Rhinolophus ferrumequinum: one gene and its partners. The protein of the gene in region 3 interacts with the protein of the main gene of each other region in a biochemical or structural test. Links are inferred from orthologs where the notes say so. Each region holds a gene or a part of one and is shown on either strand. Other genes may lie near its edges.

Region 1 (7,159 bases), on a different chromosome or scaffold from region 3:
AGAAATGTAGTGTACCAATATAGGCATAATGAGTGTCCCAGAAAGAGAGAAGGAGCAGGAAATATATGCTAAGAAATAATGGATAAAAACTTCCCAAATATGATTTAGAAGAACATTAACAGAGCCAAGAAGTGCAATGAATTCAAGTAGGATAAATGCAGAGATCCACACACAGACACATCATATTAAAAGTGCTGAGTGAACCAAAACAAGGAGAAAATCTTGAGAGCAGCAAAAGAAAAATGACTCATCACTTACAAGCCTCTCCATAAGATTAACTGCTGAATTCTCATCAGAAACAATGGAGGCCAGAAGGCAACAGGATGACATTCCAAGTGCTGGCGGGGAGGAGGGAGATTTGTAAACCAAGAATCCTGTATCTAACAAAACTATCTTTCAAAAATAAAGGCAAAATAAAGACATTCACAGATAAACAAAATAAAGAATTCATTGCCAACAGACCTGCTTTACAAGAAAAAGTAAAGGAAATTCTTCAGGCTGAAAGCACTGATCCCAAATAGTAATTCTAACCTACATAAAAAAACAAAGATCACCGATTAGGATAAGTATGTAATATAAGACAGAATAAATACATATTTCTTCTCCCTTCTTCTCTTAACTGATTTAAAAAGAATATGTATGTAATTGTATTGTTGAGCATATAACAGAGAAATGTAATATACTTGCAAATAACAGCACAAAGGAGGTGGGTGGGAACAAAACTATATTGGACTAGAAAATGACACCAGATGGTAACTCAAACCCACAGGAATAAATGAAGAGAACGAAAAGTGGTGAATAAGGTCAACATAACAAATATTATGGATATGTACGCTCTTTCCTTTTCCCCCTCAGCTTAAGAAATAAACAACAACCTAAATAAACAGAAAGACATTACATGTTCATAGATCCAAAGACTTAATATGAATGAAATGGCAATACTTTCCAAATTGATCTACGGATTCAGTACAATCCTTATCAGAATCCCAGCTGGATTGTTTGCAGAAATTGACAAGCTGATCCTAAAATTCATATAGACATTCATAGGCCCCAGAATAGTCAAAACAAAACAATCAAAATGAAGTTGGAGGACTTGCACTTCCCAACTTCAAAACTTACTTCAAAGCTACAATAATCAAAACAGTGTGGTACTCACACAAGGATAGATATATATATCAATGCACTAAAACAGAATTCAGAAATAAACCCTCACATTTCTAATCAATTGACTTTGACAAGGGTGCCAAAACAATTGTGGGAGAGAATAATCTTCTCAACAAATGGTGCTGGGACAGCTAGATATCTATATGCAAAAATCATTTAGCAGAAAAATCTGGTCTGACCTACTTTTTTCCTCTCAGTGTGAATATTCATAGATTTCTTGACAGAAATATTAATGTGTTTAATTGTTGGATGATGTCCCAGACTCATGGGTGGTGTTACATATAAATGTTATATGCACCCTATTAGCTTTCTAAAATCTGACATATTTTGAATTCTGAAACACTCCTGGCCTCAAGAGTTTGTGGACCTGTAATGCTGAAGTCAGGGAAGGCTCAGCCCAGTGTCTGGCATGCAGAGTCCTCAATAAATGCTATATAATTATTCATTATATAATAAATAATATATAATAAATAATGCTCTGAGTAGTCATTGAGAGAACACACAAAGTTGCAATGGTCCCATGGGTGTAAGTGACTGTGTATTGGAGCAGAGATACACAAAGATTGTGTATCTGCACCCGGCTGCTGTGTTATTACACAATTACATTGTAATTGAAACAAAAACAAGAAAACAAAAGGGAGAGGAGTTTAATTTTTGAGAGAAAGGCAGTGTATCAAAAGATGCCATACCCAACAAGGGGTGAGTCAGTAACTGAAAAGGGGGCAGTCATCTGAAGTGTGCCCTCCTGTCCCTGGGCGAGTGAGGGCTGAGGGAGGGACCCCCAACAGTGCCATCCTGGAAGGCTCACCCTACATAATGTGTGGACCTTTCCTCTGCCCCTTTTACCTCAGGAATCCTACGGGTTTCTCAAAGTAAAGAACTGGAATGTCAGGATCCCCAGGACGCTGGTTAGAAGCTGGTTAGAAGTATGTACAGCCTCCAGGCGCAGTCCTGGCACATTCTGAGACACTTAAATCTTTTAAGATCTGCATCTTAAACCAGTTGTCAGACCATCCCACTTTCATTTACATTCTAGCACCACTGGCCTGGCCAAACAGCTTTGGGGGTGGGACAGGGAAGGTAGAAGGAGCAGGAGCTCCCGGGAGAATCCAGGGTGGCCCTGAGCAGAGGACGGGCCAGGTGACCTCTGCAGCTTCCACAGGCCTCACCCTCTCACTGGGCTGGACACATCTGCTGACCACGGTCTACCACGCTAGACTGTGAGCTCCTCGCGGGCAGGCCCACAGCTGATTCACCTCCGTGGGCGTGGGGAAACCCTGGCGAACAGAGTAGACCGACTGTCACGGGGGAGGGGCTGTAGGGGGAACGTGAGTGGGGCTTTTCCTGGGGAGGGCCAAATAAGGGAGGGCAGTCGCTAGGGGAAGGGGTTACCAAATGAAAGGGGACAGGGAGGCTGGGGAAGGAGAGAGGGCAGCAAGGGGACTCGCCAGAGAGGCTAGAGGGGAGTGGGAGGGGCCGCCCGGGGCTGGACTGGCCCAGAGAGGGGTTAGCAGATGGGTAGGGCAGAACCCAATTCGACAGGGAAGGGGGGCTGTAGGAGGGGGATGAGGAAGGAGGCTGGAGCGGGGTGAGGCTGACGAGAGGGAGGAGGAGAGGAGGGGAGGGCGGTCCGGCTCGAGAACCCTCAGGGCCGGGCCTGGGCTCACCTGGGGCGAGAGGGCGGGGAGCAGCTCCGCGAGGTCCCAGATTCTGGGTCGGCAGAGGTCGCGGGAGACCTCGGGGGCGGTCAGGAGGGCTGAGGTCTGCCGTCGACAGCTCTCTACGACGGGGCAAGAGGACTCTCTGGAGGGGGAACTGCCCGTGAACGCGCGCGGAACTGACTCGCGCCAAAAATTCCAAACCGGAATCGAGGCCCCGCCCAAGAACTCCTCTTGCCCTGCCCCCTTCCCGATGCAGCCCATCAGAGGCGCCCAGCCTCCTGGGGCTCCGCCCCCTACGTCCCTGCGTGCGGGTCGCCGACCACGCCCCCCAAGCGCCTCAGCCCTTGCGCTCTCATTGCGCAGGCGCAAAGTGTCCTTGGCGCCGGCCCGGGGGCGGGAGTGGCCGCACCGCAGGGCCTGGAGGCTGAGGCGCTGCGCCCGGCCTGAGCCAGCTTTGTGCCCCTTCCGCCCGGTTCTCGGAATGTCGACCGACCCCTAGTTCGCTGTCCCAAAACCCACGTCTCTCGCTGGGCTGACAGTATTCGCGTCTGTAAAAGGAGTGGTCACCGCATTTTGCCCCAGAGGTGTCGCCTCAGGAGGCGATCACCTCAGGGTAGGACTGGAAGTCCCTGCGGCCTCTGGGATCCTGACGGGGCGGAGTCCCCTGGGCTCGCAGGCTCCCCCCTCACACCTGCAGTGCACCACACCGGGGATGTCATGGGCAGGCCAGATAGACATTTCCCCGACCCGCGGAACGCGCGGCTTCTGCTTCAGGAACCAGAACATTCTGCCCCTCTCAGGAAGCCCCCTAGACATCCAGGCCGGATCCCTCCCTACTTCCAGGGCTCAGCCACCTCCGAGGCAGCCCTTACCATCGTTTGGATTTGAGCCTTGAGTTCAGCTCACAGCTACCTCAACTGCTTCCTGGCGGAATGACCTTGGAATGTACTAGGGCCTGAGATTCAGATTAGTCTCCTCTCCCGTGAAAACTGAGCTGGTGAAAGTTACCTCACGGAGCTGGAGGTTCATATGGAATGATCCCCTTAAAGTTCTCAGCAGGGGAGCAGCACAGAGCAGGCGCTGATTCCTAACCTTAGTGCTGCAGGCGTTGCTCCTTCACGGACAGCATCTTTTATCCGTTGAACAAGGCAGGGGGGAGTCACGCTTCCAGGCCATCCTCCCTAGAACCCTCCACATCTCATCATATATCCTTTCCTTTGCGGATTGCACTTATCTCTGTCTGAAATTCTATCCTCTTGGTTCACCCTTTGACCACCCCTCCACCAAGTCTGCAAAGTCAGGGACTGCAGGGTTCCCAGCCCACTGCGCTCCTGCCCTTCAGCGAACACTCTCCAGTTAATGGACCAGCCCGTCCCACATCAGGCCCAGAACTTCTCTGGGGCCTGCAGCCCCCACCCCCTCCATGCACCGGTCCTTTGCACTAGCACCTCTGGCAGCCACAGCCCCTGTGACTCAGACTGAACCCCTGTTAAGGACCCCAGACTTGTCCCCAGGAGGCCTGAGAAGAAGGCAGGCCCCTCCCCAGCTACCATCCCCTCTGCCAGCCCCATCTCCAGGACTTTGGGACTCAGGCCCCTTTCCAACTGCTCATTCTTGGAAGTTATTCACAATGACTTAAAAAAAAATTATACATACATATATATATATATATATATATATATATATATATATATATATATATATATATATATATTTCTTTTTAATTCAAAACATGCTTCCAATGGACATTTCACTGTGTGGAAGGGATATAATGTAAAGCTAAGTACAGATAGCAGGTAAGAGCATGGGTCATAGAGTCAGGGCAATTAGGGCTCCTATGCCACACAAAAGCTGTGCAATCATGGGCAAGTTGCTTTATGTCTCTGGGCCTGTTTCCACATTTGTAAAATGGGGATAATAATAGTTCTTACCTTCTTGGGGTATGAGCATTAAATGAGAAAATGCATGTGAAATGCTTAGCACAGAACCTAGCACACAGAAGGAGCTTACTCTCTTTAATAATAACAGTAACACTCCCTCATTTGTATAGTATTTTGCAGTTTTCAAAGCAGCTTCCTGGTTCAAAAGGAGGAACCTGGAGGAGAGGGGCCGGGACTTTTGCACCCGGGGTCACAGGGATTCGAGACCAAAGCGCTTGGCTGGGGATCAGTCCAGGAAGAAACCCCCAATCCCGGCCCAGGCGCGGGATTCCCGGGGTCCGGTCGCACACCCAGGTAAGAGCCGGTTTGGGCCGCGCACGCCCCCATGTGTCCCGTCGCGGCAACAGCACCGCGACCCCGCCCGGACTACCCCCCCCCCTCCCCCGCCACACACACACCGGGATGTCCCTTCAGGGATGGGGCCACAAAACAGGATACCGTGAGATAAGAAAGGTAAGGAAATGACGGCCACTTACGCAAACCTGGCTACATAGCAGGAAAGAGGAGATCGTGATGGGTACTTCTGGGGAATCTGGCCTTGTTCTATTTTTTGACCTTGGAGCCAGCTGCATAGGTGTTTGCTTTAATAGATATTTATTATATTGTACATTTCTGTTTTATGCACGCTTCGGAATGTATGCCATATTTCACACTGGCATAAGGTTTTAATAAACTAACAAGTGGGTGAGGAGAAGAAGTTAACAAAGGTCAGCTTTGCACAGTGCAAGTGCTTAGGGATGCCTGGGAAAGTGTCTCAGAGATGCTAATCCCGCGATTGGGGCTGAAGAGCTGCCAGATAGATTGCTGAAGGGGCGACCTAAGGAGCCTTTAGTATAGCTGCGGGTTCAGAAGGTGTCTGCCCTGCAGGCGCCTGGCCACCCCTCCAGCTGTCATCCCCAAATTCCCACCCTGGCAGGTGCTGCTACCATGAGCAGCTGGCTGGGAGTCTACTGACACAGGCTGTGCCATTTTAGGCGATGTACTTCCTGGGCCTCCATCTTGAACTTTTAACACCCCAGCTGTCACCTTGTCCTGGGCTTCTAGCTCTACCCGTCAAAGTTGCTCCTGTAGCCAGAGCCTGGGCCATGTGCCCTCATGCCTGGGGGTAAAGGGTAACTCAGGTCCAGGCTCCATCAGGGGTTCTTTTAGCCCCCAAGTGGTTGATGCGCTCTTAGGCCCTCCTTGCCTGGGTAGAGCTGGGGCTGAGCTGACGGGATCGGCTGTGCTGGAAGTGGGGGTGTCAGCAATGCAAGGGCTGTGGGTACCCAACTGGGCCCAGCCCTGGTCCTGAGTGGCATCAAGCTGGCCCAAGGCCCCTGGCTGGCTGACTGGCATTTCCCACAGGCCCATGCCAGCACCCAGGCAGCCTGGCACTGGTGGCGGGCACCAGCATTCCCTCTAGCAGTGGCCAAGCAGGCACCCGGCCTGTACCTCCTGCATGGCCCCTCCTGGTCTTCCCGCCTGCCTCCTCTTGTGCCAAGTTTCCCTGGCACCCTGCAGGGTGAGCTGACTGTCTGTGTGTCTGGGTCTGTGTGGGGGGCCCTCAGCTATCCCAGGTCTGAAACAGATACCTTGGGCCCAGACTGGCATGAGGCAGGCAAAGAGCAATGCAGTGTCTGGGGCAACTGGTCTTGTTGCTGCCCAGAAGTGTGTGGAGTATCAGAGGGCAGAGGACGGTGGACTCAGGGGGCGCTGTACACTGCCAGGCTTCAAATCCCAGCCCTGCTGCTTAGGGGGTATACAATCGGAGCTAAGTCCCTTCTCCTCTCTGCCTCTGTTTCCCCATCTATAAAATAGGGTCCAAAGTAGCTCCCCCAATAGCCCTAACACGGTGGTACCATTAGTGTCGTAATTTTAAAGAGAAAACAGACTCAGGGAGGGCAGATTCCTGCTCAAGCTCCCCAGCCAGGTAGACTGAGTACTTGAAGCCAGTCTGAATCCGAATCCAGCACCCAGCCTGCTAACCATGAGGCCACTCAGCTGCCCTCCATGAGGATACCAGGGAGCCAGTACCTCCTGCCCTGGGGAGAAGCAGGTGGCCTGGCAGAAAAGCCCTCTCCAAGGAGCCTGCCTGGACTGTCCTAGGTATTCCAAGCTCTCATGGGTGGTTGGAGTCAGGGGCCACCCCTGAGCCACTCCCAGCAGCCAATGGCAGGTCCAGCCTCCAGGACTCCGGGTCACGGCTCTCTGCTGGACAGGGCAGGAGGTGGGTATGTGGGGTGCTCTGCCAGGGCATTGGGCTGAGAGGACCCAGCCGGAGCCTTGTGCAAAGGTGGGTCTATGGGTACCATGGGTAGGGTTGTATGTGTGTGTGTGCACGTGCACATGCCCTCAGACAAGCATGATCCCTGGCTGTGGGCCCTCGTGTGTGGGGAGAAAACACAGCAGGGGTAC
Region 2 (7,567 bases), on a different chromosome or scaffold from region 3:
GCAGCATTCACAGTGACGGTGCCGGCAGGGATAGAGGCAGCTGAGGCAATGGGTGTAAGGGTGGTATTGCTGCTGCTGGTCTGCCCCAGGGAAACACCCTGCATTGGGGCCAGCGTGATTGTCTGGGCCTGTGGGTTCTGAACTTGGAGGTTTTGCAGCTGAAGAGTCTGCCAACTGACCTGTCCATTGGGCCCCACTGTTGGTGTCCGGATGATGATGGGGCCAGAGTTTGGAACAGCCTGCAGCTGTAGGTTCTGGAGGGTTTCCTGGGAGATAGCTTGAGTCGTAAAGGTCTGCCCTGACAATGGTGCTGCTTGAAGAGCCTGGAGGGTCTGTCCTCCTTGAACTAGCTGAGGCTGGATAAGAATTTGTTGTTGCTGTGACTGCTGGTTTTGCTCTCCCTCTTTTTGCTGACTTGCTTGCATTGAGCCTCCGGATGTCTGGTTCTGCTGGATGTTTAGAGTATCAGACCCCTGTAGCCCACTGACTCTCTGGGGTGTCTGGCCTTGAGAGTTGGTCCCTGCTGATCCGCTGGTGGTAAAGTTCATAATTCCCATGTTGCTGGTGGTAGTAGTTGTTGAATAGCTATTGGCATTGGTGAAAAAGGAGCTGGAACTGGCTTGTGATGATACCAAAGTGGCAGAACTGATGGCAGTCCCTGAGGTGACGGGCTGGGAGCCACTCTCCTGGGACCCAGAGCTGCTGATAGTGACTGCCTGAGAGCTAGGAGTCAAGGTAGCTGCAGAAACGCTATTAACAGGTAGCAAAGTGATATTCCCATTCAGGGCCACTGGTACATTGGTCACATACTGAGTTTGTCCTGAGAGTACATTATTAGCCAGGCCTTGCAGGGGGACAGCCTGTTGGAGTAGATTTGGCATAGCAGCAATGATGTTGCCTCCACTTCCTCGATTTGTGATGATCTGTTGGTTTGCACCTGGTATGATCTGTATTTGACCAGAACCATCCTGCTGCACTTGGGCCCCAGTGGCAGCGAATTGCAGCTGTTGCCCATCAACGGTCTGGAACTGTGGGATTACTTGATACTGAATGTTAGGCATCACTCCAGGTAGTCCTGTCAAGACTTGCTGGTTCTGTAAGTTGGAGGTGGCAGCCACAACATACTGCCCACCAGAGACCGTGCGATTCTTGGAAGACTCACTGCCATTGCTGCCATTGGTACTGCTGCCACTCTGTTCCTTTGAGGTAGGGGTAGCCCCAGAGGAGGAAGAGATGATCTGCCAGCCATTGGCACCCTGTGAGAGTTGTGTGGCCGTGAGGTCAAGCTCACTGGTGCCCCCTGACTGGCCTGGGCCCTGCGAGTTGTTGCTGTTTTCATTGGGTGATTCAATTCTGCTGCAAGTTGCTGCCAGCAGAGCCAAAGGGGATGGCTGGGATTCCTGGCCAAAAAATAAGACAGAGGAAAGGAATCAGTTCAGTGACACCCAGCTGCGGGGGGAGGGGGGGGGGCAGTATACTATAAACAAACAGCAACACAGTGCAAACAAATAAAGAGAAAATGAACAAAACGCTGAAATTGACATTTTTGGGGCTCTCCCAATCACTTGTCTCTCTGTACTTACTTCCCTATCTCTAAAAGGGTGAACCCCTTCCTAAATTCTTTTCTGTGGAGATAATCACCTAAAGATGGGTACATCCTCTCAACACCTTGGCCGCTCTGTCCTGATCAGCACTTACCTGTCCTCCTCCTCCACTGCTGCTGCTACTGCCTGTGCTGCTGCTTCGAGCCTGGGAAAAGGCACCACCACCATTACCATTGCCCCCATTATTGCCACCAACTCCTTTTTCAATCTTCACCACGGCTGTCATTTCATCCATGGAGTGATCTTGGTCTAAAAAGAATGAAAGGATAGACAACTTAAAGTTGAGGGAAGGAAAAGGGTAAAGTGAGGAAGAATAGAAGAGGCTATGATGAAACAGGCATGACTAACAGGAAGGTGAAACATGCCAGCGTAAAAAAAAAAAAAAAGGATTGGGGGAGAAGGAACAGTTGTAGAATGTGTAGCACATGAGCTAGGCTTATTGGTGCCAAAACTGGGCCTCAACTCTCCTTTGCACTAAGTTAAACTCAGAAAATATTGAAAAGGTGCTTTTGGCATAGGAAGTGTGAAGGACAGTGGGCATGTTGAAAGAGTTTCAAAACAAGAAAAAGTATCCTGGGGGAAAAAAATAAGGATAAAACAAAAAACAACATGTGGGTGGATGGAAAGCTTGCTAAAATTAGGGTCAAAAGAGATGGAGAAAGAGAAAAATTCAAGTGTAAAAAGTAACAAGAGAGGAGGGCAAAGGGAAAAAAAGTTGAGAAGTGTGAGTGGGGAAACATTTGTGAATACTGGTGGTAAGGGGCTAAACGGGTCCAGGACACAGAAATCAGGTTTCCTGGCGGACTGAGGGCGGACCCTAGAGGGAAAGGGCGGTTTCGGGGTGAGGGGCGTGGAAAGGGCGGGACAGTGGGGGGGAGGGGAAATCTACGGAAGGTGGGGAGGGCCCTGGGGCAGGCGGCGACCAGAGGGCGGACCAGGGAGGCGGTTGGCCCGGGCGGGGCCTGCACTGCTCGGGCCGCCCCCGCGGCTCCAGCCCCCGGCAGGAGGAGCCTTAGGCAGGCGGCCGAGTAGTGGGGGGTAAGGCCCGTCCCCCCCGTGGCCGGGGCGGGCAGGGGGCGGGCGAGGCCACTCTGCCCCCTCCCCCGGGGCGGGCGGCCCATCCCCCTCCTCCTCGGAGGCCCCGCCACTGCCCCTTCTCCCTCCCTTCCCTCCGCCCCGGGCGGGACCAAGGCCGCCGCCGCCGCCTCCCGCCCGCCCCCCCTCATGGCGGGGACCGCCTGGTCGGCCCTCGCGCGCGCCCCCTCATTCCCCTACCACCCCTAAGCTTGGAGTGGACTCATCCTTACCGCTCATGGTGGCAGCTGAGGGACGAGCTCAAGGGGGTCCTGTCCGGGGGGGTTGGGGGGGGCCGGGAAAAACGCGGACGCTGACGAGGCAAACGAACCCGTACCGGACAGGGAGGGGGGGGTAAGGAGGAGGGAGCAGCGCGCCACAAGCCCGGCCTAGGCCCCTCCCCTTCACTGCTGCCCCGCCCAATGAGGGAGGGAGGAAGGAGGGACTTGCAGAAGAAAGGCGGGCAGGTTACCCAATGGTAAGACTCGCTTACTCTCTAAGGCGTGTAAGACAAAGTTGCGTGCCCGGTGTCCGCCCTAAAAGGCCGCCCTCTCAATTTTCAAAACCAATGAAAGACGCAGGAAGTGAATGTGGGCGGGAGCTAGAAATGATAGGCTTGGAAAGGAACCAGTCAACTGCCAGGCGGGCTCCTTGAGAGGTAGAGATAGGAAGAGCTTTGGTTGGAGTGACAAAACAACGACCAACCAGAACCCTGGACGTGCCTGAGCAAAGTCCCAGTGGGAGGAGCGATAAGAAGTAGGCAGGAATGGGAGAGGATGAAGTTGATCAAAACCAATCAGAAATCAGGCGGGCAGCCAGGAAAGTTGTGATTGGATTAACGCTGAAAAGAGACAAGATAAGACGCAAATTGACGGGAACTAAAAGCCAATTAAACACCGAATGAACTCTAAGGGTGGGAACTCGGAGTAGTCAGAGGAGAATTGGCGTCTCACTCAGTCACTCAGTCCAATGAGGCGGCGAAGGAAGCCAGACACCGCCTCCATCTTGGCTGATGGGCGTTACTAGAGCCGCCTCTCATGGGGGAGGGAACAGGGCTGTGCCAAGAGGAGTCCGTCGCCATATTGGCCCTCCTCAGGGGACGTCTTTACAGTGACTGGGTGCTATGCTTTAGCGGAGCCCTCTAGCTCAACAAGTGTCAGGGCCAAGAAACTCAGTGTGCAGTTCTGCCTCGCCACCAGGGCTCTTTTACGTCTTCTTTTAACGTCCCTTAAAAAAAAAGTATTTCTCAAGTCTCACTCTACCCAGGCTGGGCGGACAGGCAGTCGGATGCCTCTGAACGTGGGTGTAAACCCTGAGGGTGCCAGCGCAATGAGATCTGGCGACGTTGCTCACGCCTTCAGTCAACACTGAGCTGACCAATTTGCAAGGCCTTTGTGAGATTACAGCAAACGCCATTTTATTAAATTTCCCCAAAGGTGCTGACCACTTAATTTATGGCAGATTAACTTTTCAAGAACTCTTGAGGCTAAAGTGCACTGGAGAACCCAGAGTCAAGGTCCTGTAAGCCACTTACTCCCCCGCCACTTGCAATTGTAAATGCCGTCTAATCATAAAACAAGGTAGTAGAACAGTTTTTTTGTTGTGGTTGTTTTTTTTACAACTACAAAGGTTTTAAAGGAGCTATTTCCCCAGGTACCTGAATTTCTGCTCTCCCATCCTGCCTTCCTTTTCTAGTTTTGGTGGAGGCAGCCTGGGTGGTTTGTGGTCAAGAATGATGAGGTCATTCTCTTTAGCACTTGTATGTTATATATGTTATCACTTAAATAGCTACAATTTCAGCGCTTGTGATAGGTTGTCATGTTTTAAAGTCTGGATTCCCCTAAAACAGACCTCTGCAGTCTTGGGCAGGGCCTGAAGACAGGTGACGTGATTGTTGAATGTGTTAGGTGCCTAGGTCAGTTAGGTGTTTTGCATTCTTTATGTCATGCTCATATGGAAGATACTAGTAAGTTTTAGAGATTATATGTTTTATAACTGAAGAAATTAAGGCTGGGAAGTAACTTGCCCAAGGTCACAAAGCTAATAAGTTGTAGTTCCAGATTCCAACCCAGAATAGTACCACAAAAAGTCTTGTATAAATTCTTTGTAGAGAATAAAGCAATGCCTTGTATAACCATTTAGAAAAATGGCTTAATAAAAAAAAATTTCTGCCTCCTTCGCTCTCCCATCTTTCCCTCCTCTGGCTTTTTCTTCCTAACTCAAGGAAGTCCGCTTCCCCGAAGGGGTCTGAGCCTTTATTGTTTTTTTGTTTTTTTTCTTTTTCTTTATTGTTTTTTAAAAATGCTTTTATTTTTTTATTTATTTATTTTTTTTAAAGATTTTATTGGGGGGGAACAAGACTTTATTGGGGAACAGTGTGTACTTCCAGGCCTTTTTTCCAAGTCAAGTTGTTGTCCTTTCAATCTTAGTTGTGGAGGGCGCAGCTCAGCTCCAGGTCCCGTTGCCGTTGCTAGTTGCAGGGGGTACAGCCCACCATCCCTTGCGGGAGTCGAACCGGCAACCTTGTGGTTGAGAGGACACACTCCAACCAACTGAGCCATCCGGGAGCTCAACGGCAGCTCAGCTCAAGGTGTCCTGTTCAATCTTAGTTGCAGGGGGCAGAGCCCACCGTCCCTTGTGGGACTCGAGGAGTAGAACCAGCAGCCTTGTGGTTGAGAGCCCAGTGGCCCATGTGGGAATCGAACCGGCAGCCTTCGGAGTTAGGAGCACGGAGCTCTAACTGCCTGAGCCACCGGGCCGGCCCTTAAAAATGCTTTTATCATGTTACCTTCTAGCTCCTGAAAAAATGCTGCCATACTTCCAGGATAGTTCAAATGGCACCCTCGCCTTGTACACCTTTATTAGAAAACATCACAGTACATTATAGTTAGCAGCGTCTCTCCCTAGATCAAAGCGTCTCACACTATGTCAGACAATCCCCATCAGAAGGCTGTGGGCTGCTTTTTAAAAAGGTCGATTCCACTAACAATTGTCACCCCAATAAATTAAAAATAAATTTAATAAAAAAAAAAAAAAGTCAGATGAGGTGTCATCAGAAAATATAACATAGATTCAAAATATGATAGCAGCACCATACATTAATTCTAAATCAATATTACTGTATGATTATCAAAACTTTTGTATGCTTAAATTACTCATTTCTCCATAGCAAAATAAAGATACCTATTTGATTATAAAAAAAAAAAAAAAAAAGGTCGATCCCTAGACCCCATCTCAGATGGAATAAATCCCATTCTCTCCGGTGGGGCTTGACAGTATGCATTTTGTAGTAGCTCTTTCAAGTGATTAGTCCCTAAACCAGTTTTAAGAAACACTGTGGGAAGAAACTGGAGAGAAGAAATTTCCAGAAGGGAAGAAACTTCCCAAGGGAAAAAACTGCATTAGTCATCTTTGTAAACCAAGCTGTCAAGATTGTAACAGCTGTTCAGTGCATTCAGCCTAAGACCACACCTAAACTGGGGGGGCTAACATTGTAGAGCAGTCCTCTGAACATTTCACACACATTGTCCAACTTAATCCTTTCAACCAATTGAAGAAACTGCCATCTCCTTTTACAGATGAGAAAACTGAAGCTCAGATACTTCCGTTAAATTCATGACTGCTCTGTTTAATCCCAAACTTTGTGTTTTTTCCATGGTTCTAAGCTATGCCTAAAATGAGAACTAGGGTTGGATTTTATCCCAGATACTGAGAAAAGGCTTAGATATAGACTCAGCAATTCCGGAGCCATCATCCTTTTCCCAATACTGTTTCTCCAGGACAAGACAAAATTCAGAACCTGGCTAGTGAGGGATGGTTGCTTATTGATGGTCCCTGAAAGCAAATGGGCATGATCCATCTTGTCCAATTATCTGTAAAACCTGAACAAATTTTTTTTAGACTTAACACAAAAACCAAAAATGAATCAACTTATTTCAAGGCTTCTTAAATCACTTAATTCCTAATGACTGTGTTTTAAAAACACAGTGTTTTAAAAAGCAATGTAGGGGGCGGCCGGTTAGTTCAGTTGGTTAGAGTGCTGTGCTCTTAACAACAAGGTTGAGGTTTCAAATCCAGCATGGGATGGTGGGAGGCGCTCTGTGCAACTAAAGATTGAAACCGGCAACTGGACTTGGAGCTGAGCTGTGCCCACCACAACTAGATTGAAGGACAACAACTTAGAACTAATGGACCCTGGAGAAACACACTGTTCCCCAATGTTCCCCAATAAAATTAATAAAAGGAAAAAGAACGAGTTCTATGAAGTCTTTCCTACCTCCCGCAGGTATTGAATACTCTGTCTACCGTGTTTGGTTTACACACCTCCACTAGAGGTATCTAAATATCTGATTCTCCAACTACACAAAGCAATCTGAGGGCCCAGATGATGCCTTTTCACTTTATATCCTCAGGGGCTAGCATATAGTTGACACCCAGTAAACATTTGTTAAGTAGAAGGGGAAGCATAATTCCATAGTTACCCAACATCCTAAATAGGTCTCCAGATTGATTCTCAGCCTTCAGTTGGTTGTCTTTTACAAGTTAAATCATTCTTCCTGATTTTGAAGCCACTTTGTAGCTTTCATCAATTTCCCACTTAGCAATCTGGTAACTGGGAACATTTTACAAATTAAAATACATAGGTGAGTCAAAACTCTCTTTTTACACCATCATTGCAACATTCCCTCTCAGTAAGTTTTCAACTACAGCTAAGTACAAAACAGACTAACCTTTCTTTTACCTGCCCTGCCTACTCTAGGATAAATGAGATTAAAAAGAGTAAGAGACAGAGAGAGAGAGAGAGAGAAATAGTCCGACAGGTTAAGTCTCAGCAGATAATGTTCTAAACCTTTAATTCTAGCTCTCTGAACAAGAAAACAAGCCTAGGT
Region 3 (7,282 bases):
TCCTATACAAGTAAGGCTTTGGAGCACACTAAAGCTATAGTTGGAAATGTTCCTCAAACAGAACCTACATAAATTAGACTCTAGTAGCAAATTGTAAATTATAAGTTATGTCATTTGTTCCTGGAGAGCTTAGAATGTTAATAATATCAAGACACCTATAAAACGTAAGATATGCTGTTGGTGGAGGAAAAACAGGCAGAGGGATATTTTTATCCCTCATTTATAACATATGGATATATTCTTTAAAAACTTTAATGAAATTACAACAGAAAGAACAAATGATTAGATTATTGGTTTTATTAGGTTCGTGCAAAAGTAATTTTGGTTTTTGCAATTATTTTTCTTTTAAACTGCAATTACTTTTGCACCAACCTAAAGAATAGCTTAAACATGTACACACATCATTTAAACCTAGGGGAACACAATAGAAACTTATTTAAATTAGTGTAATAGTCAATTATTGAAACCAATTCGGAAGATTCAGGTAAAAAGATTTTATCATATTAAAAACAATTGTAGGAGACTAAAAGTGTATTACGAAACTTAACATAATTCTACTGTCCTTACTTCTCGCCCCAACACACACACAAGATATCGCTAGTCTTCTCAAAATACAAATATTGCTTTTTAAGTACTTAGTATTAGAAGAATGCAGGATTATGGGGGAGAGGGGCTGTCAGAGTCATATTAGAATAATTTCAATTCTCTTGAAATGTGAACATTTTTGTTATTTCTTGTGTTTAAGTTATTTATGTAAAGGACATATATATTAATGCACAGTAGTGTAAGATGCTTTAAAGTTTGGATTTTAATAAATATTTACATTTCTTCATGTCACAGATGTTATAGCATCATTAAGTCATTAAACATTTTTTTATTACTGAAAAGCACTCACCTTCTCCAATTTTCTCTATTTTGGTATAGTCTTCCATAGTTAATCAATAGGTATGGTAGATGCTAAAATGAGATGAAAAAATTATTTGATTATATGCCACTAATTCAAAAGAGGGGTTTAAGTTATTAATGAAATACTATATGTAAGGTACTTTCCACAGTGCTTAGGTACAGTATTAACTTTTCATAAATATTAGTTATTGCATTAAAACAATATTTACAAGGGAAAGTACTCCAGCAATAAGACTTCCCCACATTTCTTAACCCCTAAAACACTGGAAATATTTGTATCATATATCAGTGTTTAGCTTCTTTCAATCAAATAACCCCTTAAATTCAGACATCAACTTATCTGTCCTTCCCAAACAACCAGAAGTCTGTTTTCTTATGGAATACTTCTAAGGAGCACCAGTATGTGCCAATTACACCCAGATACTTCAACAAATGCTATTTGACTGAATATTTACTGGTTTATGATTTTGTGAAGATAATTTAAAGACATGACTAGGGAGCTAAAATGTGGTCACACTGCACATTCATTAGATTGTTAAAAGCATAAGTGTTTAAGCTTGCTCAAGTGAGTTTTCTGTTTTTAGCAGTCACATACACAAACATGATCAACACTTTCAAGGTATTTTTTGAAAGAGTAGGAAATATCATTTAGCACCCTAAAAGAAAAGGTGCAATTCCACAGACTAAGTTCTAATTATGCCCTATACAATCTCAAGAACAAGTTTATATACATATAAAATATATATGTATATATGTGTATATATGCATATATATATGCATATATATACACATATATATATATATATATTTTTTTAAATCACAAATAATGGTCAAAAAAAAAAAGCTGAAATGCAGATAACCAGACACTCCAGACTTCCTTGGCTGGTAAATTTGCCTATGAAACATAACTAGAAGAAACCCAAAGCATAATTACCTTGATTTTCTAACACACCCGTCACTGATAACATCATATATAAAGGTCATCTGAATACTCTGAGTAATTGGCCCTTAAGTTCTATTTCTCACTTTCATCTTCAGAATCATTCCACAGAAATAGAGATAAATCTTTTTAAATGAACAAAACTGCACTACACTGGCCATGAGTGTCAACCTTAAAAATTTTTAATTTTACGAAATGGCAATGGATGATTAAGATAATTATCTTTCCTTCAGTATCCTGATTTAATATGCCTAATGCACAATAAAATTGTTGAGCTCATTTAGCTAAAAACTAAGTCAATTTCACAGCTGGGTTCGAGTAGCCTCCCTCCATTTTCCTGCCATAACCATTTTTGAATCAAGGATGCAGCGTTAGGCCTTTTGAATACCTCCGAAGGCTCTCAGTACTACTAGCTGCAGGATGTAAAATACCAATGGACTGGCCTGGAGACCTGGCCCAAGTGTGGTTGCTTCCCACTCCCAGAAGCGAGGGCAGAGCGCACAAGGGACCTAGGACCGAGCCTGGCACTTCGCCAGCGCTCGGTGTCGCGGAGCCAATGCCCGGATTTGGCTTCAACCGCGACCCTAAAGCCTCCCTAGCCAGGTGGGCGGCCTCTTCCAGAGAAAAGCCGACCGCGACCCCAGACCGCAACTCCGAAACCAGGGCAGCCGCAGCCCTCCCCGGCTTAACCCCACCAGCTCTGGGCTCCCCTAAACCTCCCTCTAAAGCTGGGACCCGGCGTCACTCACACGCCCAGGCCCGAGCCCGCAGGTGAAGGCCGGGCCCAGCCGCCGGAGGCCCAGCCTGGCCCCACGCTGCCCAGCCCAACTTCCAAATTCCCACCCAGTTACTCAATACTACCCCTCTGAAGCCCCCGAGCCGACCCCTGTGGACCCCACAGGCATGACCCTGACCCAGCAACACTCCCCGGCACGTTACCCCGTGGTAAAAGGGGCAGCGGTGGCTACCGCGTCAGCTTCTCCCTTTCCTTCACTGCTCCGAGCCAGCTTTGAAGCCAAATGCGAGCAGTTTCAAACTCACCGCTCTAAAGGGTCCCGGGTTCGCCAATGAGGTGGCCCGTAGACTTTCAAAGGAGCCAATCAGAGCCCAGTCACGCTTGGGCGGAGTTCTCCGGTGGCTGAAGCGCGAAAGCAGAAGAAAACGGCGGCTGGAGAAAAAGCAGGAGGGCGGGCGCCAAATGAATCTGCGCGCAAGCGCCGTCCTTCATCCCTGGAGAGCGTCGTCCTACTGTTTCTAGTCATCAGGAACCTACTGATCGGTCTCGGTTGGTTCCCCCCCCTTCCTATATCAGCACAATAAAAATTTATTGTGCACAACTAGCTCATCACAAAAGTGATACTATACTTAGATCCAGATTCCATTACTTTGTTCAAACTAGTGTATAGTTATGTTTTTCTAAATAGATGACTTTTGGGCTAGGCCGAAGGAGCACATTTCAAGAAAATGGAAAACTGAAAGACGTCCTCAACAATGTAAAGAAACATGTTTCTTTTATATATATATATATATCTTTTATATATATATAATTGTTTTTACCTCACTTTTTTATTTTAAATTTTTTTATTTATTTAAAATTTTACTTATTTAAAAACTAAAAACAAAATTGTATTTTTTTAATTTCAAAATATTTTCACATCGGTATTTTAAATGTTATTTAAAACAAATAAACAAAGTCACAATTCTATAAGGGAAAAAAAAGAGGTCTTTAAGTAACCCAGTATCAAACATTCTCTTTCATTGCCCTCCACCATATTCTTAAGAGAGATTTCTGCACTTGAACATCATTCTTAAATCTTCAAGACAATAGAAGAGTAAAACAGAATGTGATAATAAGGTTCCCCTAGCAAGAATTTCTCTTTGCACTGACCTTAAAGGGATGCAGAACAAAGAATGATTACCATGACCTCTACAAGTATATTAGATGACCCAGAATAGGAGAAGCAATGGAACTTCTTTTATCACATACGTGGAGGTGTTTAATACCTTTTTACATAAGTAACATGTATCATCTGGCCCTGTATGTGGCACAAATGCTCAGCCTTGACAACTTTATGCTCCTAGGTGACAGAGGCAGAGAATTTAGAGTGGAGGTAGGGGTCTGAAAAAATCTCTACCTGAACCTAATAAACTTTAAAATGCCAAATTCACATTTTAAATGAAAACTGGCTACCCCCAGTAAAGTACTCTAGGAAAGAAGACTGTTCTCTGCTAGTTTAGGGTACTGATTTTAATGAATGAATATATATCTTTCTCTCTGGGAGGCCTAAGCATGGAATTTAATTGAGACCATCTAAAAACAGGTAGTAATTCATTATATCCACTTTATGTTCAACATAAAGAATACCAGAAGTTTCCACAGGTGTGATGCTTGATTTTTTTTTTAATTTAACTTGATTATCTTTGTTTTTGAAGTTTCAGGGATTATTGTAAATTCATGCTATTGTAAATTCATTTTACAGTTTATTACACATAAGTCTCACTTGTATTCAATGTCTCTACAGTGCAATGCTGCGCTTAAATAGACACAAAAATGAATCAGATACAATTCCTGCTCTAAGTGTGGACGTGGGAGAATACAATGATTACTTAGAATTGTTTTCTGGCACTTATGTTGTAATTTATGCTATAAGATAATGTGAGAACATAGAGAAGGAAATTACTAATTCAAGCAGAGGAAGTGACATTTGAACGAACACTGGAGAAAATAAATGTGGGGTGGGCATTCTAAAGCACAGGAGTTTAGAGTCAGAATCTTGAAGAGCCCTGAATACTGTTATAAAAAGTTGCTGAGGAGAGGTACAGTCTTGGAACTGTATGTTAGAACTATTCTGGAGGTAATATGAAAAAAAGAACTGAAGAAGAGAGGATGGAAAGTCATATGCCCCACAAAATTTCATACTTATATTTTGGTAAACTCCATTTAGAAGGAAAAGAAAAGGTTAGTTGGTACTGCACATGAGGCTTTTGTTTTGCTTTGTTTTTAGATATAAGTATTGCTGTGGACTGAATTATGCCCCAACCCCCAATTCATACACCAAAGCCCCACCCTGTAATATGATGATATTTAGAGACGGAGCCTTTGGGAGGTGATTAGATTTAAATGATATCATGAGGTTGAAGCCCTCACTGTGGGATTAGTCCTTTTATAAGATCTCTCCCTTACTCTGTCTCCTCCATGGGAGGACATAGCAAGAAGGGTCCATCTACAAGCAAGAAAGAGAGTTCTCACCAGAACCTGACACTGCCAGCACCCTGATCTCAGACTTCCGGCCTCCAGAACTGTGAGGAAATTAATTTCTGTTGTTTATGCCACCCAGTTTGAGGTATTTTGTTATGGCAGCCCAAGCAGACTAGCACGAGTATTTTTTCAGATAAAATAAATTCGAGAAACAGTTACTTGTGACTACAATAATCCCCCCTTACTAGCAGTTTCACTTTCCACAATTTCAGTTACCTACTGTTTACCATGGTCTGAAAATATTAAATGCAAAATTCCAGAAAGAAACAATTCCTATGTGAATCCTACCTTTGTCCAGCATATCCACTCTGTAGACGCATCCCGTACCCATTAGTCACTTAGTTAATACCCATCTTGGTTATCAGATCCGCTGTCATGGAATCACAGTGCTTGTGTTCAAGTAACTCTAATTTCACTTAATAATGGCCTCAAAGTGCAAGAGCAGTGATGCTGGCAATTCAAAATGCCAAAGAGAAGCCATAAAGCACTTCCTTTAAGTGAAAAGGTGAAAGTTCTTGACTTTATGAGGAAAGAAAAAAGTTGTATGCTGAGGTTGCTAAGCTCTACAGTAAGAACAAGTCTTCCACCCATGAAATAGTGAGGAAGAAAAAAGAAATCCATGCTAGTTTTGCTGTTGCATCTCAAACTAAGAAAGTGCTAGGGAGCTAGATACCCATATCTCACAAGGCCTTCCCAGGTTGTGCTAAAGGATTTGGACAGGATGATGAAATTAAAGGGGAAAAATGGGAGTAGGGGAGTGACATAGTCAGATATGGGAGTTGGAGAGAAAAGTCACTGAAGAGAAGATGCGAGGAGGGACAGTGAGGTAGCATCAGAGCCAGAAGACCAGTGGAGGGCTCTGCGACAGTCCCAACAGGGGCTCAACTAGAGGAGTGTGGGTCAGTTTGAAGAGGAAGAAGTAACGATGAGCTATTTTGAGAAGCTAGGACTGTAAGACCTAAGGAGTCGATCGGGTGTGATGAATAAGGGCGAAAGACTCATCAGGGATGGCGTGGGTGCGGGCTTGACCATGCGTTGATGCCACTGCCATCTGCAGAGAGGCTAAGGAGCAGTCGTGGGGGTAAAATGCCACTCTGGCCTGTGGATTGTGATGTATCATGGGACAGCCACGTGGCCACAGATGGCCAAAGGCAGATACAGGTTCCGTGAGGCCTGAAGTGTATATCATGTAGGGGCCCTTTTTAAATTAAAAAAAAAAAAAAATGCTAAGTTAAGTGTGATGGAAAATATATTTGAGAATAAAAAATTACAAAATATTAAAAGTTAAAAAATACCATCAAGTCACAAAATCCATTAAAAAGTATTTTATTAATTGCCTGACAGATCTTTATATTGCCTTTGTTCTACATTTGAGGGGGTTTACAATTTTTGGAATCCATATTTTAAATGCTTATTTGTTCACCGAACTGATGAGCTATTTATCTTTTTCTCTTTATATGGCACAATTTTGTAATATTTTCTATTAAGAGAGAAAAGATAATGCAGTCTTTCCTTTAGCATGGTTAATCCAAACTGGCTTTTTATGATTGATCATTTCAAAAAAGTTTTTGTGGCTCTCACATCGTTATTGATTATGTCACATATATTTTTAGCATTTCTGTCAAATGTGAGAAAACATCAAGTTTCTTTCACATACTTGTATGTGTCTATGCTACTACTCTACTCATAAACTTGTGCCTTACAAACACAGGAATTATGCAAAATTCTAATGTGCATCATTCTAAATATTCCAGATTTCAAAAATTGTCTGATATATTTATAATTGTCCATGCTGTGGTAACAAGCGTATTCCTGACACAGGAGAAATTCAGTTTAGATGCGGTAATGATATAATTTTATGCATGTTATAATTGACAGCATTGCCCACAGGTTAGCTTCTCCTCTATTACCCACTTCCCATTTACTTAGAGTTCATATAAAATCTCTGACCCTATCCCTTCATGTCCAGAGGCCAAGAGAGTCAGCTGAATGGATGGGCAGAGTATTCCCAGAAGCCCTTCCTACGTTAGGACTGGTGGCAATAACTTGGAAGTGTGGTGGGTAAATAACTAGATGCCGCTAATCCTAAACTAAATGTATCCTCAACTCAGCTTCCTCTGAGCCAATTCTCACCATTGTTCATGGTCCTGCCGGTGCCACTGGACAGGTGGGGAAGT
Region 4 (6,646 bases), on a different chromosome or scaffold from region 3:
AAAGCGCTCGTGGCCGTTGTTTGAAAGTGACTTACTGCAGAGTTGGTCGGTAGGTGTCAGTAGTTAAACATCCGATAGAGGTGAAACTATCCATTTTGAAACTACAAGTTAAACACTTAATATGGCCAATTAAAATGGATACTGAGATACTTTGTCACAAGTAATTTAAGACGGTTAGTGCAGCCGACGCCCAGCGTTAAAAGTGAAGCGCTTAGCCGCCCCGTAGAGAGTGCTCCACAGAGAACGAGATAGGGAGGAGATGGAGACTTCAGAGGCCCGTATGTTTGTAGTGAAGAGCTGGGACTCCAGTTTCCTAATTTATCTATCAGCAGTGTGCACTGGAAATTTAGCTTGGCAAGCGGTTTCAGGAAGTAGCTATTTCAGACAGATTCAGTATCCGGGAGCCACTCCTCAATCAGTTCAGTGAGGTCAATCAAGTGCATTGACGACCTTGTGGCAAACGTGAAAAAACATTAAGTTAAATTTGGTGGCGCAAAAATATATCACATTAAACTTCCTACCCATCAACTGAAAACTGACAAATCAGAATGTAGCGCGGGGTTTTTAAATGTTCCTTTGTAAATAAGCACGTGTTCAAAGTTAAAAAAATATTAGTACAGATGAGATCTTCGGATAGTTTTTACAGAAGGGGCTGGCAATAACCCATCTATGGCTTTAGCCCTGTGGTCACACTGGGTTACTTGTCACTTTCAGTCTAAGTACCAAGGATACCTAAAAGCGAAACAACTACAATCGTAGTGGGTTGCTTGGTGAATGGTCAAGTCAACACCCCCAGGTCTGCTGTAGGTGTCTGTAGTGCACAGCTGTTTCCAGAGATCTCTGGGTGGCTCTGAAAAGAGCCTTTGGGTTTTGTCGCCTTTTTAAAGACCAGCTTCCTACTTCTTTTTCGGAGCTGCCTTCTTGGCCTTGGTGGCCTTGGGCTTTGCCGATTTGGGCTTGGCGGCTTTGGGTTTGGCCGCTTTAGGCTTAACCGCCTTGGGCTTGGCTGGGCTCTTGGCGGCCTTCTTAGGCTTCGCAGCAGCCTTGGCCTTCTTGGGGCTCTTGGCCACCTTTTTGACACCGGCGGTAGCAGGCTTCTTTACTTTCTTGGGGGTCTTCTTCACGGCTTTCTTTGTCCCCGCGGCCTTCTTGGGCTTTTTGGGAGTGGACCCTGCGGGCTTCCTGGGTTTGGCGGCGCCAGCCCTCTTGGGTTTCGGCTTCGTCTCGCCGGAGGCCGCCTTCTTGTTGAGCTTGAAGGAGCCCGAAGCGCCGGTGCCCTTAGTCTGCACCAGGGTGCCCTTGCTCACCAGGGTCTTGAGACCCAGCTTGATGCGGCTGTTGTTCTTGTCCACGTCGTAGCCGGCGGCAGCCAGCGCCTTCTTGAGCGCGGCCAGCGACACGCCGCTGCGCTCCTTGGAGGCGGCCACCGCCTTGGTGATGAGCTCGGACACCGGGGGGCCCGAAGCCTTACGCTTGGCGGCCCCGCCCGCTGCCTTCTTGGTCGCCTTCTTCTTTGTTGGCGCCTTCTCTACAGGCGCCGGGGCGGCCGTCTCAGCAGGAGCGGTTTCCGACATGGCGATGGGAGGAGCTACCAGAGAAAGAGACCCAAAATCCAAAGAGCGAGTTCGCAGTACTGCCAGGCTCGGGCTACGGCTTATATAAGCCGGGGCTGCGCTGTGATTGGTGGGGCGTCGGATCCGCCGCCCTCAGGCGGCCGCCTTTCGCGGTTGGACTCCCAAATTGTGTTTCTTACTCCCAAACATCTGATTAAATTCCGAAATCAACGGTACAGAATCTGACGCTTTGAAGCTCCAAAGGTGGAAAACAGCTTCCAGGTTCACATACTTGTCTGTGTTTTCATGAATCACGCGCAACTGATGAAAGATATTTTTTAAAAATCCCTTCAGCTTTCCATAGGAATCCACGGGCTTTGGGCATCCTGCTACTTAGTTGCATCTTGCACCAAATGTCTACTAAGTATCAAGTCAACGTGTGTTAAAAGGCTTTCTCTCTAAGTTTGGTCTTTGATTTTTGCAGGAGGAAAGACCCTAGGCTCCTTCTTTTGGGCATAAACTTTGTTTCTAACTGTAGCAAGTAACACACGCACAGAGCGCCTGCTTGCCTACAGCCCCACACCAGCCACACAGACATGACTTTAAAAACCGGTTCTGCTTCTTAGGTGTTTCAGTGCCAGTGTCTGTAGTTTCCATCTTGGAAATGTTCAGTTGCCAGAGTGACTTCTACCTTGCAGCAGGAGAAATAACAATTGCTTTGTCTTCAGTTTCCAACGACCTGGATTCAAATTCAAACTTTAATTTGTATGGTTTTGATTGAGATGTGTTCTCTCTTTAGTTCCTAGGCAAATCTATTAAAACAAGGATGAAAAATGCTTAGCCCAGATAATGTGTCAGAAAACCTCTGAAACCTGTTAAAAATTTTTCAAGGGCTTCCAGTAGCTCACAAAAGCACAATCTATTTAGCTCCCATGGGACTTTGTCAGGTTTTCCTGCTTTTCCCAATGTCTTCCTTCAAACTCCTCAATCCCTGTCAGTATTTAACAAATTACAGTCAGGAACACCCTCTTCGCTGAGCAGACAGGAGACATCAATTATTAAGTGATAATAGACCTATATTTTAGAAAAATAATTGGCTACTATAAAAACGGTGCACTGGGAATTTCCTGAATTCAGGAAAATACAGGAAAACATTAACATTCAAGGGAACTGAGGCAATGATCTTGAGGTTGGAATGGAAGATGAAGTTTGCTATTTATTTGGAACGAAAGTAGGGCAAGGGGTTGATCGGATTTTGTGTCTGGCCTAGATGCTAAGGGAGATCAAATCATGATTTTGATCTCTAATGCAGTTGACGGTACTTAGTTCTTCCCTGTGAAACACTGGTGAAGCAGCCAACACACTTCTCTCTAGGAGTTCCTGGAATTGAAACTATAGTCAACTATGACCAAACTGGACAGAGGCCTATTTTTGTATGGTCCTTACTCAAAGGTGGTTTTTAGATTTTTAAATTGTGTTAGAAAAAGACCGTGACAGAGATCATACGTGGCCGGCAAAACCTACAATATTTACTACCTGGCACCTATGCTGTGTTTTGAATGCATCCACATAGACACAGATCGTGGCATATCGCCACAAGCTTGCCTCTTTCAGAACAATGCAAATCAAGAACTAAAGAAAAGGTTTTAACAAGAAAGTGTTCTAACCAATCAATTCTCATTGTTTTAATCACAAAACATTTAGAAGATTCGGGGGGAATCCCTCCATGCTTAAAGGTGCAGGAGAGGGAAGTGTAACAATAAGAGGTAATATACACTGAGCATTTACAAAGTGCCAGGAACTAATCTCAGGAAGCTGTACAGATTTCCATTCATTCATCACACTTTACAGCTCTGTCAGCTAAGGCCTAGAGACAAGATGCGTGACTTGCCAAAGGTTATAGAGCTCACTGTCGGCAGATGTTTGAAGGTAGACCTCCTGGTCCTGGGTCTGTATGATGGGAAGGTCCTCAAAGGGATGGGGAGAGAACAACCTTTGAAACTTGGAATAAGCAGCACCAAGTTGTCCCTACACCTGAGAGCCACTACAGGAGCTCCAGACTGATTTGTAATCAGAGGCTTTTGGCCTCATCAGACTTTTCTGAATCAATTCTGAGACTTTTCAAAAAGCTTTCCAAGGAGCCAATGGTTTAGATATAAGCCTCTCTCTGGAAGGGCAAATCCAGACACGGGAAGGAAGGGAAGGCCCAGGTGGCTGATCTGCCAGAGATCAGGAGAAAAACTGCCCTCATAGAACTGCTACCTCCTAAAGTTAGGGTGTATACCCAAAAAAGGTAAGCAGCAAAATGAGGCACTGACAGTCATGTAATACGAAGAGCACGAGAGTAAACTAAACAAGTGGAAATATGGGACGCAGCCATGTTTGGTTAGAAAACTCAGAATTGTGTGGAAACAAGGAAGATTTAAAACGGCATGCTGGATTTCATCCCTAGTCTGATTCTCCATAGAAAAAAACAAAACAAAACAATCACAGACAAATATATTTTAAAAACACTTGCACAAGTATTTCTAGATTGTCTCAGAACTATTGGGAACTCATTTTACATGACAGCTTACAGGTCATCGTCACCCATTCCCCAGTCACACATGGAAAGCCCACAGCATACACTTGCAAACATTACATCGGAACAGAAAAGGTGCACTCGCTTCTGCAGCACGTATACTAAAATTGGAAAACAAAAAAGCCGTCAAGATTTTAAACACTCATGGCAACACTTGTGTTACAAGAAATCAAGAGGCCTATTTCTGAAGTAATGGCGCTGGAATATTCTACCTATTTAACTGATTCCCATTTGCATAACCCAGTTAAGTCTTCTGTAAGGTTTGGGCCAGTTTTCCTTCAATCACTTCTTGCAGTCGAAGTTGTTTGGATTTTCAAATGACCGAGTCATTGTAATGCCTCTCCATAAACAGCTCCTCACTGCAGAGTATGAGGGACTCGGCAAGCGGGACGGTTGTTAGGGTCACAGGAGAAGCAGACGGCCGATGTGGAGCACAAGTGGGCAGCAGTGGTGTGACTTAGTCACCAAGGACACACCACACTTCATATAAGGATGCCGTGTACTTTTCAGAATTAACAGCTCTTTTTCGCTGACAATTGAGGGGCTCTGAAAAGAGCCTTTGGGGGCAGGGGATGCTAACTGAGGAAGGAGACTTACGCCCGCTCCCCGCGGATGCGGCGCGCGAGCTGGATGTCCTTGGGCATGATGGTGACGCGCTTGGCGTGGATGGCGCACAGGTTGGTGTCCTCGAACAGCCCCACCAGGTACGCCTCGCACGCCTCCTGCAGCGCCATCACGGCCGAGCTCTGGAAGCGCAGGTCCGTCTTGAAGTCCTGCGCGATCTCGCGGACCAGCCGCTGGAAGGGCAGTTTGCGGATCAGCAGCTCCGTGGACTTCTGGTAGCGCCGGATCTCGCGCAGCGCCACCGTGCCCGGCCGGTAGCGGTGCGGCTTCTTGACGCCGCCGGTGGCCGGCGCGCTCTTGCGGGCCGCCTTGGTGGCCAGCTGCTTCCGCGGGGCCTTCCCGCCCGTGGACTTGCGCGCCGTCTGCTTCGTGCGAGCCATGGGTAAGCAAAGCCAATTCTCCAACACTAATGAGAAACAATCAGCCATCCCAGTATTTATAGGGACTCGCCCGCCGCTATTCGACGATACCCTATGCCCCTCCCACCCCTCCACCCCACACGGATTAGTTCTTTGTTCAATAATTTCAGGAAGCTTTTCCCCACCTCTATTGCGGTCTTACTGACTGAAAACCCCACAGGATGCATCAAAAATCCTTAAGAAAATGTCCTGAAAGTTCCTTGCACTTTTACAAATAAAACGTGTCGTGATTGAATTGTTGACAAAAAGTTTCGTGAACTTGAAAGGGAACTGAGGCACTGAACGAAGGCCTTGGAGTGGTTTCTAATTCCAGCCTCTGCGCTGCGCCGGTCCTCTCAGACTGCAGCATGCTTCACATTCACCGAAAGACCTCGTTCAAACAAGGTTTGGCCAATTTCTTCTGTAAAAGGTCGTGATGGAGTTTAGGCAGAGTCGTAACTAACTGCCCCTGACAGTGCAGCGCGAATGAGTACAGCTTTCAGTGAGGCAAAACAGCCGATGTAGATTTGAATCACCTGAGATTTTGCCACTCTATTAGGTGATGGACATGGGGTGTGTGTGGGGGGGAACCAAATGCACTTTTGGTGGCATTACAAAATTGATGTTTCTAAGTGAATTCACAAAGATCACTCTAACGTAACCCGAGGTAGCTGCCCTGCCAAATTAAGGATTTTTAAAATGCCTACAGGTCTTAGATTTCTTGGGTGGCCCTAAGACGGGACTTTGCGTAATGAAATGGCGGTTTGAAGAACTAACCCCCGAAGCTGTAGGAGCGCCCTGCCGCCGGAACACGTAGACAACGTCGGGGGTGCGGGGGGGAGCTGGCAGGCGGAGGGCGGGGGGAGGTGGCCGAGAGCCGTCTGGGAGCCGGGCGCACAAGCCAGAGATCCTTCTTTGCACATGCAGTTAGGCCCTCGGGCTCGGGACAGTTAGTTACCGGCCCGAGTTAGTACTCTGGCTCCCGGGTCTGTAACTTACAGAGAGCGGTAACTTACAAAATGCTTGGCCTCAGGCTTAGGGAGGGACCCAGCATGAGAAATGAGAACCCAGTTCGTGCCATTTAACCCCAAAGACACCGGTTTTGGGGTGACGGCTCTCAGCCGGTGCCTGGGGAGAGGGGGGACAAAAGGGGGACGGGAGGGTGGGCAAGGATGTCAATCCTTCCTGACATCGATCGCTGCCAACATATTAGGAATGAACACCCAGCGTTTTGCTGGCAACGTGGGGTTTCTGTGGGCGGCCGGCAGAACCCTCGCAGTGATCTAGTATGTCCATTTATTGGACCAAACACAGCGTGACGAGCTCGGCGGTACTTCCAGGACTTCCCGTCACTGCCAACTGCCCAAAGGCGGCAGCGCAGCCCGTAGTGAATCCTATCACAGGAACAAAGGGCGGAGAGACCCTGCCCGAAAACTGGGGTTTCTATAGCTTTACATTCTCCATTGGTAGGCCTCCAGTTTGCTAATTCC

What was found.
Region 1: of the proteins of CDK1 (region 3) and PKMYT1, one has a biochemical effect on the other in vitro, tested with the Homo sapiens proteins (2 studies listed by BioGRID and IntAct). The link is inferred for Rhinolophus ferrumequinum from reciprocal best matches to the Homo sapiens genes CDK1 and PKMYT1.
Region 2: of the proteins of CDK1 (region 3) and SP1, one has a biochemical effect on the other in vitro, tested with the Homo sapiens proteins (2 studies listed by BioGRID). The link is inferred for Rhinolophus ferrumequinum from reciprocal best matches to the Homo sapiens genes CDK1 and SP1.
Region 4: of the proteins of CDK1 (region 3) and H1-5, one has a biochemical effect on the other in vitro, tested with the Homo sapiens proteins (7 studies listed by BioGRID). The link is inferred for Rhinolophus ferrumequinum from reciprocal best matches to the Homo sapiens genes CDK1 and H1-5.

Annotation. Positions count from the first base shown.
Region 1 is NW_022680357.1:4,484,015-4,491,173, forward strand, and holds the start of PKMYT1 (membrane-associated tyrosine- and threonine-specific cdc2-inhibitory kinase), read right to left. Parts: upstream 3,017-7,159; 5' UTR 2,832-3,016; intron 2,442-2,831; exon of another isoform or gene 2,334-2,441; intron 481-2,333; exon of another isoform or gene 463-480; intron 1-462. UniProt on the Homo sapiens protein: Acts as a negative regulator of entry into mitosis (G2 to M transition) by phosphorylation of the CDK1 kinase specifically when CDK1 is complexed to cyclins. Mediates phosphorylation of CDK1 predominantly on 'Thr-14'. Also involved in Golgi fragmentation.
Region 2 is NC_046293.1:53,250,941-53,258,507, reverse strand, and holds the start of SP1 (transcription factor Sp1), read right to left. Parts: upstream 3,017-7,567; 5' UTR 2,919-3,016; coding exon 2,912-2,918; intron 1,854-2,911; coding exon 1,699-1,853; intron 1,401-1,698; coding exon 1-1,400. UniProt on the Homo sapiens protein: Transcription factor that can activate or repress transcription in response to physiological and pathological stimuli.
Region 3 is NC_046299.1:41,137,566-41,144,847, reverse strand, and holds the start of CDK1 (cyclin-dependent kinase 1), read right to left. Parts: upstream 3,022-7,282; 5' UTR 2,888-3,021; intron 2,886-2,887; exon of another isoform or gene 2,786-2,885; intron 958-2,785; 5' UTR 933-957; coding exon 896-932; intron 1-895. UniProt on the Homo sapiens protein: Plays a key role in the control of the eukaryotic cell cycle by modulating the centrosome cycle as well as mitotic onset; promotes G2-M transition via association with multiple interphase cyclins.
Region 4 is NC_046305.1:1,998,774-2,005,419, reverse strand, and holds H1-5 (histone H1.5), read right to left. Parts: upstream 1,879-6,646; 5' UTR 1,575-1,878; coding exon 897-1,574; 3' UTR 517-896; downstream 1-516. Other genes in the region: uncharacterized protein LOC117014580, read right to left, coding at 4,728-5,229, 6,156-6,284, 6,491-6,550. UniProt on the Homo sapiens protein: Histone H1 protein binds to linker DNA between nucleosomes forming the macromolecular structure known as the chromatin fiber. Histones H1 are necessary for the condensation of nucleosome chains into higher-order structured fibers.